Macaca fascicularis: one gene and its partner. The protein of the gene in region 1 purifies or fractionates together with the protein of each later gene. This does not show direct contact. Links are inferred from orthologs where the notes say so. Each region holds a gene or a part of one and is shown on either strand. Other genes may lie near its edges.

Region 1 (3,813 bases):
CAATTCCATTCCAACACCATGGGGTTTATTCTAGCCTTCATTTTTTCCATTTCATGACTCGTTCCAGCTGCCGTGATTCCCTGTATGTTTCCCTGTCTGCCCGTTCCCCTGTGTGTACCTGTCTCACCTCTGCTGGCCACCTCCTCAGTCCCCAGTGTCTGCTTGGCTCCAGCTCGAAGACCTGCCAGCCCTGCCACCTGAAGGGAAGGGAAGGGGAAGAAAGAAGGGAAGTGAACCAATAAATACTTTTAAAAGAAAGGGAAAGGGAAGATAAAGCAAGGCTTTTATTAGTTTTTAATAAAATAAATAAAACTTTGCAGATAAAATGGCTATTCTTGCCTCCTGTATTCTGTTCTCTTTCATTCATGTGTGATGTGTGCATCCTATCCACATTCTCTGTGTGCTACATTTGTATGCATCTATAAATCATATGTAGTATTTTATCTCTACTTAAAATTTTATATAAATGGTACTGTACTCCAAATATCATTCTACAACTTGCCTTTTTTATTCAGTATGGGTACTGAAGCATATCTGTGTTAATAGAGGTTGATCTATTTCTTTAATTTGGACTGCTGGATGATATTCTGTTTTATTGATTTATCACATTTTCATCGCTGTTTGATATTTGGTCACATGCCACAGTTCTTCATGTCAGAAAACATCTTCATTCAAATTTTTCTGAGCATATGTATGAGTTTCCTTTCCACACTGGGAGGTGGGCTTGGAGGATATTCATATTTTAAGCTTTACTAAGCAATTCTAAATTGGATGTTTCAATGTACACGCCCACCAGTTGTAGATGACAACCTTTGTTTCTTCATATCTTTGTTAACCTTGAATATCATGATGCTTTTTAATTTTTGGTAATTTTATAAGTGTGAAATAGAGTCATGTCTATACTTGCATTTCCCTGATATCTAATGAGGCTGAGGATGTCTTCAAATCATGATTATTAGAAATACATAGGTTTTTAAGTTAGAAGGCAGTATTTGTTAGTTTGAAAGCCTATGGCTTTCTTGTTATTTCACATTTCAAGCATGTTTACTCTTTCAATGTTTGATGAATCTTCTCCCAAGTGAATGAGAAAGAGTCCTTAATTGATCAAGTTCCAGTTAACAACATTCACTTGCAATTGGATGAAGATGAAAAGTGAGGAGTCTCCTGCTTTTGTACATGAAAGGTTTTTTTACATGTGTAGGAATTAGAGTGACTTACATGATGTAAGATCTTTAAAATGTTATAAAATTTCTAAGTAGGCTTAATATGTGTGATATCTTTAACATTTCCTACATGGTCTTTACTGTATGAAACACAGCTGAAGGGATAGAAATAGACAACCATCTTAGGCCTTAGCATTCCCCATTTATTTTACAAAGTAAACAAGGACCTAATGGAATAAGGTCATCACAGAATTGCTCCAACACAGCTGGATAGACACGTGTTCCTGTTGGCTGTCAACCCACACTCTATTGCACAGCTTGAACAGTTCTTTGATCTGCTTGGTACCAAAGCCAAAATCCTGGTGTACAAGAGCAATTTAGGGGTGTTGATGTATGAGTTTAGTTGGCCAAATGTCACTCCCATGAAAGTCAGGGCTGCCCAGGCAACCCTGCATTCATCCTGAATGATTTCTGGAGCGTGAGCTGTGTGCCCTTGTTCTTTCCTCTAGATATCAGCTGAACCTCTTTGCCAGGATGTGTCTGGACCGCCAATACCTGGCCATCAATGAAATCTCAGGCCAGCTGGATGTCGATCTCATTCTCCGCTGCATGTCTGACGAGAACCTGCCCTATGACCTCAGGGCATCCTTCTGCCGCCTCATGCTTCACATGCATGTGGACCGAGATCCCCAGGAACAAGTCACCCCCGTGAAATATGCCCGCCTCTGGTCAGAGATTCCCTCGGAGATTGCCATTGACGAGTGAGCCTGGCCCCTGAAAACCTCACTTTACGTTGTTCTGTGCGGCAGTAGATAGCCCCATATAGTCTCATTAAATCTTAGAAGAAAGATGAAGTGTTGTTTTTTTAGCTTAAAATAAAATTAAATGGATGGCAAATATTTTTTTCCTCAAGAATGTAAAAGATGGCATGATCATGTTTTTTACATCATTTATCTCCTCTTCTACAAATATTTAAGTGTGTACTCTGTGCCACACTCAAGAAATATATCAGTGAACAAGCTAGAAAGCAGTCTCTATGCTAGTTGGTGGAAGACACAATAGGCAAGATAAACGACTCAAACATATAGTTGGTGATATGTGCTAAGGAGGGAAAAAATAAAGTAGGGTCAAGGGACACCAAGGGTTAGCGGATGTTGACTTTTGAAGCTGAGTGACCCAGGAAGACCTCTCTGGGAATAACTTGAAATTTTGTTTCCTTTCTTTCTCCTTTCTTTTCAGCTATGATAGTAGTGGAGCTTCCAAAGATGAAATTAAGGAGAGATTTGCTCAGACCATGGAGTTTGTGGAGGAATATTTAAGAGATGTGGTTTGTCAGAGGTTCCCTTTCTCTGATAAGGAGAAAAATAAGCTTACGTTTGAGGTAACTCACAAATGAAATGATCTGTGTGTATTATCTGCCTCTCAGTGGTCATTTTTCTATGGGGCAAATAGAAAATATTTGAGTAGGTAGTGATTTTGGTCATGATGCTCTGGTTTTGTAATGGAAAGGAATTCAGCTTGGTTTTGTTCCAGAATAAGATAAAACAGATACCAGTCACATGGCTTAATAGTAGTTATGTTCTTAAAAGAAATATACAAGGTGACTTGAACCACATAAAATGATAGAACATCACTTTGTATTAAAACTGACAAGGGAGAAACACTGTGTTTGCGATCTGCTATAGATTAATCATTTGCAGAATGTAAATCCTCGTTACTTCTGAGTTAACAATGTTTCTGAGACTACTTTTGCCTTTTAAGAGCTGTATTTCTGAGGATTGCAGAATGTTATTACCTGTGTCCTTGTTGGGAATAACTCTGCTTGCCTTGTGTTAATATTATCCTTGGGAAGCTGTGCAGAGCAAATGATGAGGTCTTTTTTTTTTAATTAGTCATCAGAGCAGATCAGTAGCTCTCCATTTCTTATTTTTCCTCCTTATGAAACAAAATGAAATTTTATCAGAAAGTGCAAGGAAAATACATGCCTTCTCTTACCATAAGGAAGGTCCAAATCTGTCATTTCTAAACTGGTCAACATCAAATGGATTTGAAGGGGGTGCAGTTTATGTAATACCATCTTCTTCTTTTATTTTATACAATAGGTTGTAAATTTAGCTAGGAATCTCATATACTTTGGTTTCTACAACTTCTCTGACCTTCTACGATTAACTAAGATCCTTCTGGCCATATTGGACTGTGTGCATGTGACGACAATCTTCCCCATTAGCAAGATGGCGAAAGGAGAAGAGAATAAAGGTAACAATGATGTGGAGAAGCTGAAGAGTGAGTATCTGAGGGTGCCCATACATCTGAGAGATGCCCTCCCAGCCTTTCCTGTTACGCTCATGTCATACCCTATGTGTGATGCCACATCCTTTCTTTGCTCATTCCTTCCCAACTTTTCATCATGAACATTTTCAAATACTGTGTAAAGAAAAGCTGGAAGAACAGTATGATGGAGTCCCATGCACCCATGACTTTGAGTCAACAGTTATTCACATTTTACTGTCTTTCCTTTGTATTTATGTGTGAGTCATGTGTATATTTTGTTGAACAATTTGAAAGTTACCTAACACTTTGAATGTTTATATAACAAATACATGTCCTGTTGTTGTCCTTGACATTCGTGAGGCCCTTGGTAATAATACTT
Region 2 (4,609 bases), on another chromosome or scaffold:
GCTTCACTATGTAATGCTGAAACATCCCAACACCCAGAGCAAACCCAGGAAAGGTAAACGGGCCAATCCCAAGCAGGCATGCCTGGAAAAAAACACACTTCCCTTTTCCTGAGTCTTAAATCTGTCTAACACCACCGGCTTGCCATCTTCCCGGTGTAAAAGTTTTTCTTTTACTGAAGGCTATAATTAAGTGGACTCTTTCTTTTCTGCAAACAAAATAACTAATAACTTCAGTGGCTGAATTAGAAATGCCCCAATGTGATGTTGGTGAGTAGGGCAGGTTGAGGAAAACGTGAGGCCCTTAGCCTAGGAGACACAAAGTCTGGATTCCAGGCCTGGTCCCACGTTTGCCTTCAGTCTGTATTTACTGGGCACCTAAGGCCCGGGGGTGCGGAAGGAAAGTCAGTCTCTGCTCTCCCGGGAACATACAGTTTATCTAGAAAGACGAAGTGCACAAGCCGCTGTGCACTGTGGCAGGAGTTAAAAAAGCAATGAACTCAAGATATTAAGGAAACACAAAGGAAGCTTTCCTTGGCTTTTACCCTTGAACCTCGCTGAACTTCTTAGATTCCGTTCATTAAAATTAGAATAATTCCTTGTTAATATACTTTGTGGTGTTGCAGGGTCGCAATGGCCAAAGCTCCCAGAAAAATATAAAGAACTCAAGGTAGGGATTTTTGATTAGTGAGGTAATGATGCTAATCTGTACACTGAAAAGATTGTTTCATTTCAGCTGTGCTATAGGAAAACAGTTACAACTCGCTAGTAGTTTATCAAGGCGGGAAAAAAAAAAAGGCAGCGCATGGTGGCTCACACCTGTAATCTCAGCAGTTTGGGAGGCCGAGGCAGGAGGATTGCTTGAAGCCAGAGTTTGAGACCAGACATACCGAGACCCTGTCTTTACTAAAAATAAAATTGTCAAGTGTCCTGGCGCACACCTGTTGTCCCAGCTACTCAGGAGGCTGAGATGGGAGGATCGCTTGAGTCCAGGAGTTCGAGGCTGTAGTGAGCCATGATCGTGCCACTGCACTCCAGCCTGGGCAAAAGAGCGAGACCCTGTCTCTAAAAAAAACCAAAACGAACCAGGTTCGGCCTAATGCAGAGGGAAATCAGAAGCAATCCCCAAAGTCAACGCCTTGGAAAAGGACGCCCTGGGTCTCAGTACTCCGGGTCACGCGCGTCCTGCCGCTCGCTCTCGGGGCGCTCCCACCTACACCGCCCTCATCCCCAGCCCCAGGCCGGACACCCGAAACAGAGGTACAGGACCGCACGGACCAAGCCGCGGGCGATCCCTGGCGGCCAGCTGCGGCCATTGACCGCTGGAAGCGCGAGGGGCGGGGCGCAGAGCGAGCGCGGGGCGGGGGTGTGGTCTTCTCGCGTGAACTGATGGCGTCATCGAAGCGACGGCCCAGAAGGAAGTCGCGTGCTGAGGGGTGTGACGGTTTTCTTGCTCGTGGGCTCGGACGAGTACGGAGCGCCTGCAGGGACAGCCTGGTACGCGGCCCCCGCCCCTTCGTGCGCGCGCTGGGCCTAGCTGCAGCTCCGGTTCGGGGCTGACCCATCACCCTCGGGAGCCTCAGTCCCAGCAGCTTCTCTCCCTCCGCCGGCCCGCTCCTGGAGAGACACAGAAACCCTTTTCTGTCGCGTCCCTTCCTTGAGAGCCGCAGGGGGACGGAGCGGAGGCTATTGGAGCCGCAGTCCCAGCCCAGGGCGCTTGACCCTCTCTCGGAACGGGGCGGGGAAGGGGCGCGAGTGACTTCGGGGAGGGAAGGGCACTGGCAGGAAAGGACGCAACTGCAGATCGGTAGCCGGAGGCCGCCACGGTAAAATAAGCGCCTCGCAGATGTCCGCGCCCGGGTTACGTTAGACCTGGGAGGCAGAATCCACGCCCTGCGTTCACGGGCCCACGCACGCACAGCTGAACTTTGCAGTCAGTCACCATAGTTCCAGATCATTCAGTGTTCAGGATCCAACTCCTCCGCGTCCTGGTGCCTGAACGCGGTTGGACCCAGGAGCCCAGAGGCTCGCAGTTTTGGACATTGCCTTTGTCTCTGACCACGGGCTTGGGGATCTGTCAGGTGCAAAGTGCCAAAGTATATCGGGGGGAGTGTGGCTTCAGGCTTGTTCAGAGCCCTGTCCTGTTTAGGGCCAAAGGAATAACTGGGAAGGTGGATGCGAGGCCAGCGAATCCTACCTTGAAACTCGGCTCGCCTGCTGGCTCTGCCACTCCAGCATCTGAAAGGAGTAAATAATGGTTTCCCTTGAAACTGCAGGCAATTAGGAGTGGGAGGCTCTGACCAGAATTACATAGCCACAACTGCCTGTCATTTGGCATCCTCTGTAATTTGGGCCAAAGTACTGCAGCTGCCTCTCTTCCCTACTACTAGTATGAAAGATTCAGTGACAGCACATTCGTGTTCACAGGAAGATGAGGCTGTGTTCTGAACCCTACCCAGCTGGCACGGGTTCTCCCTTGAGCAACGGCTGTATCCGGAGCCAGTGCTTCCTCAGTGCGGTGGGGGCCCTGATTTCACAGTTGAGGAAAGGGGAACGTTGACTGAGAACGAGGAGGAAGCGAGTTGTAGATCTAGCCTTGTGTTCACACGACACCAGGCTGAATATGAGTCACTCGCAGGGAGCTCAGCTTGGTGAGGTCCTCTGGCTGTTGCGGCCTTTTCTCCTGCACGTTGGACCACACACATTTTCCCGTGTCTTTTCCCTAGGATAAAGGCTCACTGATGGCTCAGTTGGGAGCAGTTGTGGCTGTGGCTTCCAGTTTCTTGTGTGCATCTCTCTTCTCAGCTGTGCACAAGATAGAAGAGGGACATATTGGGGTATATTACAGGTAAGACAGAGACAGGGCAAAGTCGGCAACTTCTGTTAAATAGCTCCCTTTCCTGGTCACTGCTTTCCTAGCAGATACTGCTGAACATCTCTGTTTATATTTCCTTGAACAGGGGAGTCTTTTCAGATTGAGCTTTTTATGTCAGTAACCATGGAAAAGAGAATACACACACACACATATATGTAAATTTAGAACTTCGCTTAGTAGTCCAAGATGATGCCATGGGTGGTGATTAATAAATGTTTATATAGATTTAGAGGCAAAATCTAAAGGAAACTGGTGCTCCTCACAGATCATCCCTAAAATACTGTTTTCTCCTACATCCCTCTGGCAGTCTTAGCTCTACACTGCTAGGTTACCTTTACAAAAGCCAGCTGAGTCCCAGTTCTTGATGGCAACTTGAGAAGGTAGCCTACTCTGCTAATTTAGGATACTCTTTTGAAATTAACATTTCAGCCAGCCTGGGTAATATGTGAGACCCTATCTCTAAAAAATAAAAATAAAAAAATTAATTAGCCGACTCTGTGTCACGCACACGTAGTCCTAGTTACTCAGGAGACTAAGGTGAGAGGATCACCTGAGCCCAGGAGATTGAGACCAGCCTGAGCAACATAGTGAGAGCCCATCTCTACAAAAAGTAAAAAATTAGCTGAGCATGGTGGCATGTGCCTGTAATCCCAGTTATTGGAGAGGCTGAAGTGGGAGGATCACTTGAGCCCAGGAGTTTGAGGCTGCAGTGATCACACCACTGCACTCCAGCCTGGGTGACAGAGCAAAACCCTGTCTCTAAAACTAAATTAAAATAATATTAACATTTCACGAAAAATGAAAGAGCCTGCAGGTTGACTTATGTCAGTCAAAGCAAGCCTTAGGATAGTGGTTCCTACAATAAATTTAGGAGCCCATTATGTCACTGTTTGTTTTATTGGTTTTTTTTAATTCTTTGCATAATATAAAGCAAAGAAGCACTTATAAGTCGGGTTGCTTTCTTTTTAATAATCTCCATGACCAAGTTTTTTGCTTTATGTCTTTGTGAACTCTTCTTATATGTGCTGTTGTGATGCTTATTTCTGGATTGATAACAGCAAGTTCTAAAACTCTGGAATTCCTCTCTCCTTTAATTCTTTCTCCCCATGATCTGCTTACATGTTCCCCAAAAAGGCTTTTAACTTTATCATTTACATATAACTTGATTAGAAAGGTAACTCTATTGCCAAAACATATATTTCAATTACTTATAAAGTACTTCAAATTATTCTTTTGGTTGGTCATGTCAGTGGACTCCAGCATTAGTGCAGGTAGTTGATAACCACATTACTGGACTTAACTGCCCTTATGGATTACCACAAGCCCAACAGATATGACAAAGTAAAACAGACTTCATCTTCTTTTTTTTTTTTTTCTGAGACTCAGCCTGGCTCTGTTGCCCAGGCTAGAGTGCAGTGGCAAGATATCAGCTCGCTGCAACCTTCGCCTCCTGGGTTCAAGCAATTCTCTGCCTCAGCCTACCAAGTAGCTGGGATTACAGGCACCTGCCACCATGCCTGGCTAATTTTTGTATTTTTAGTAGAGACGGGGTTTCACCATGTTGGCCAGCCTGGCCTTGAACTCCTGACCTCGTAATCTACCCACCTCGGCTTCCCAAAGATTACAGGCGTGAGCCACTGCGCCTGGCCAGAGTGCCTGTTATCTAAGTATACCCATGGATTCCGCTGTCTTTTTTTTTTTTTTTTTTTTTTAAGACAGAGTCTCACTTTGTTGCCC

Evidence for each region.
Region 2: the proteins of ITPR1 (region 1) and ERLIN2 purify together in Homo sapiens (affinity purification with western blotting, with the first as the bait; 4 studies listed by BioGRID). This does not show direct contact. The link is inferred for Macaca fascicularis from reciprocal best matches to the Homo sapiens genes ITPR1 and ERLIN2.

The regions. Positions count from the first base shown.
Region 1 is NC_088376.1:142,897,520-142,901,332, forward strand, and holds part of ITPR1 (inositol 1,4,5-trisphosphate-gated calcium channel ITPR1), read left to right. Parts: intron 1-1,672; coding exon 1,673-1,924; intron 1,925-2,402; coding exon 2,403-2,544; intron 2,545-3,265; coding exon 3,266-3,446; intron 3,447-3,813. UniProt on the Homo sapiens protein: Inositol 1,4,5-trisphosphate-gated calcium channel that, upon inositol 1,4,5-trisphosphate binding, mediates calcium release from the endoplasmic reticulum (ER).
Region 2 is NC_088382.1:41,109,707-41,114,315, forward strand, and holds the start of ERLIN2 (erlin-2), read left to right. Parts: upstream 1-1,614; 5' UTR 1,615-2,078; exon of another isoform or gene 2,079-2,194; coding exon of another isoform or gene 2,195-2,235; exon of another isoform or gene 2,236-2,390; intron 2,391-2,723; 5' UTR 2,724-2,738; coding exon 2,739-2,845; intron 2,846-4,609. Other genes in the region: uncharacterized protein, read right to left, coding at 1,110-1,614, 2,195-2,235. UniProt on the Homo sapiens protein: Component of the ERLIN1/ERLIN2 complex which mediates the endoplasmic reticulum-associated degradation (ERAD) of inositol 1,4,5-trisphosphate receptors (IP3Rs) such as ITPR1.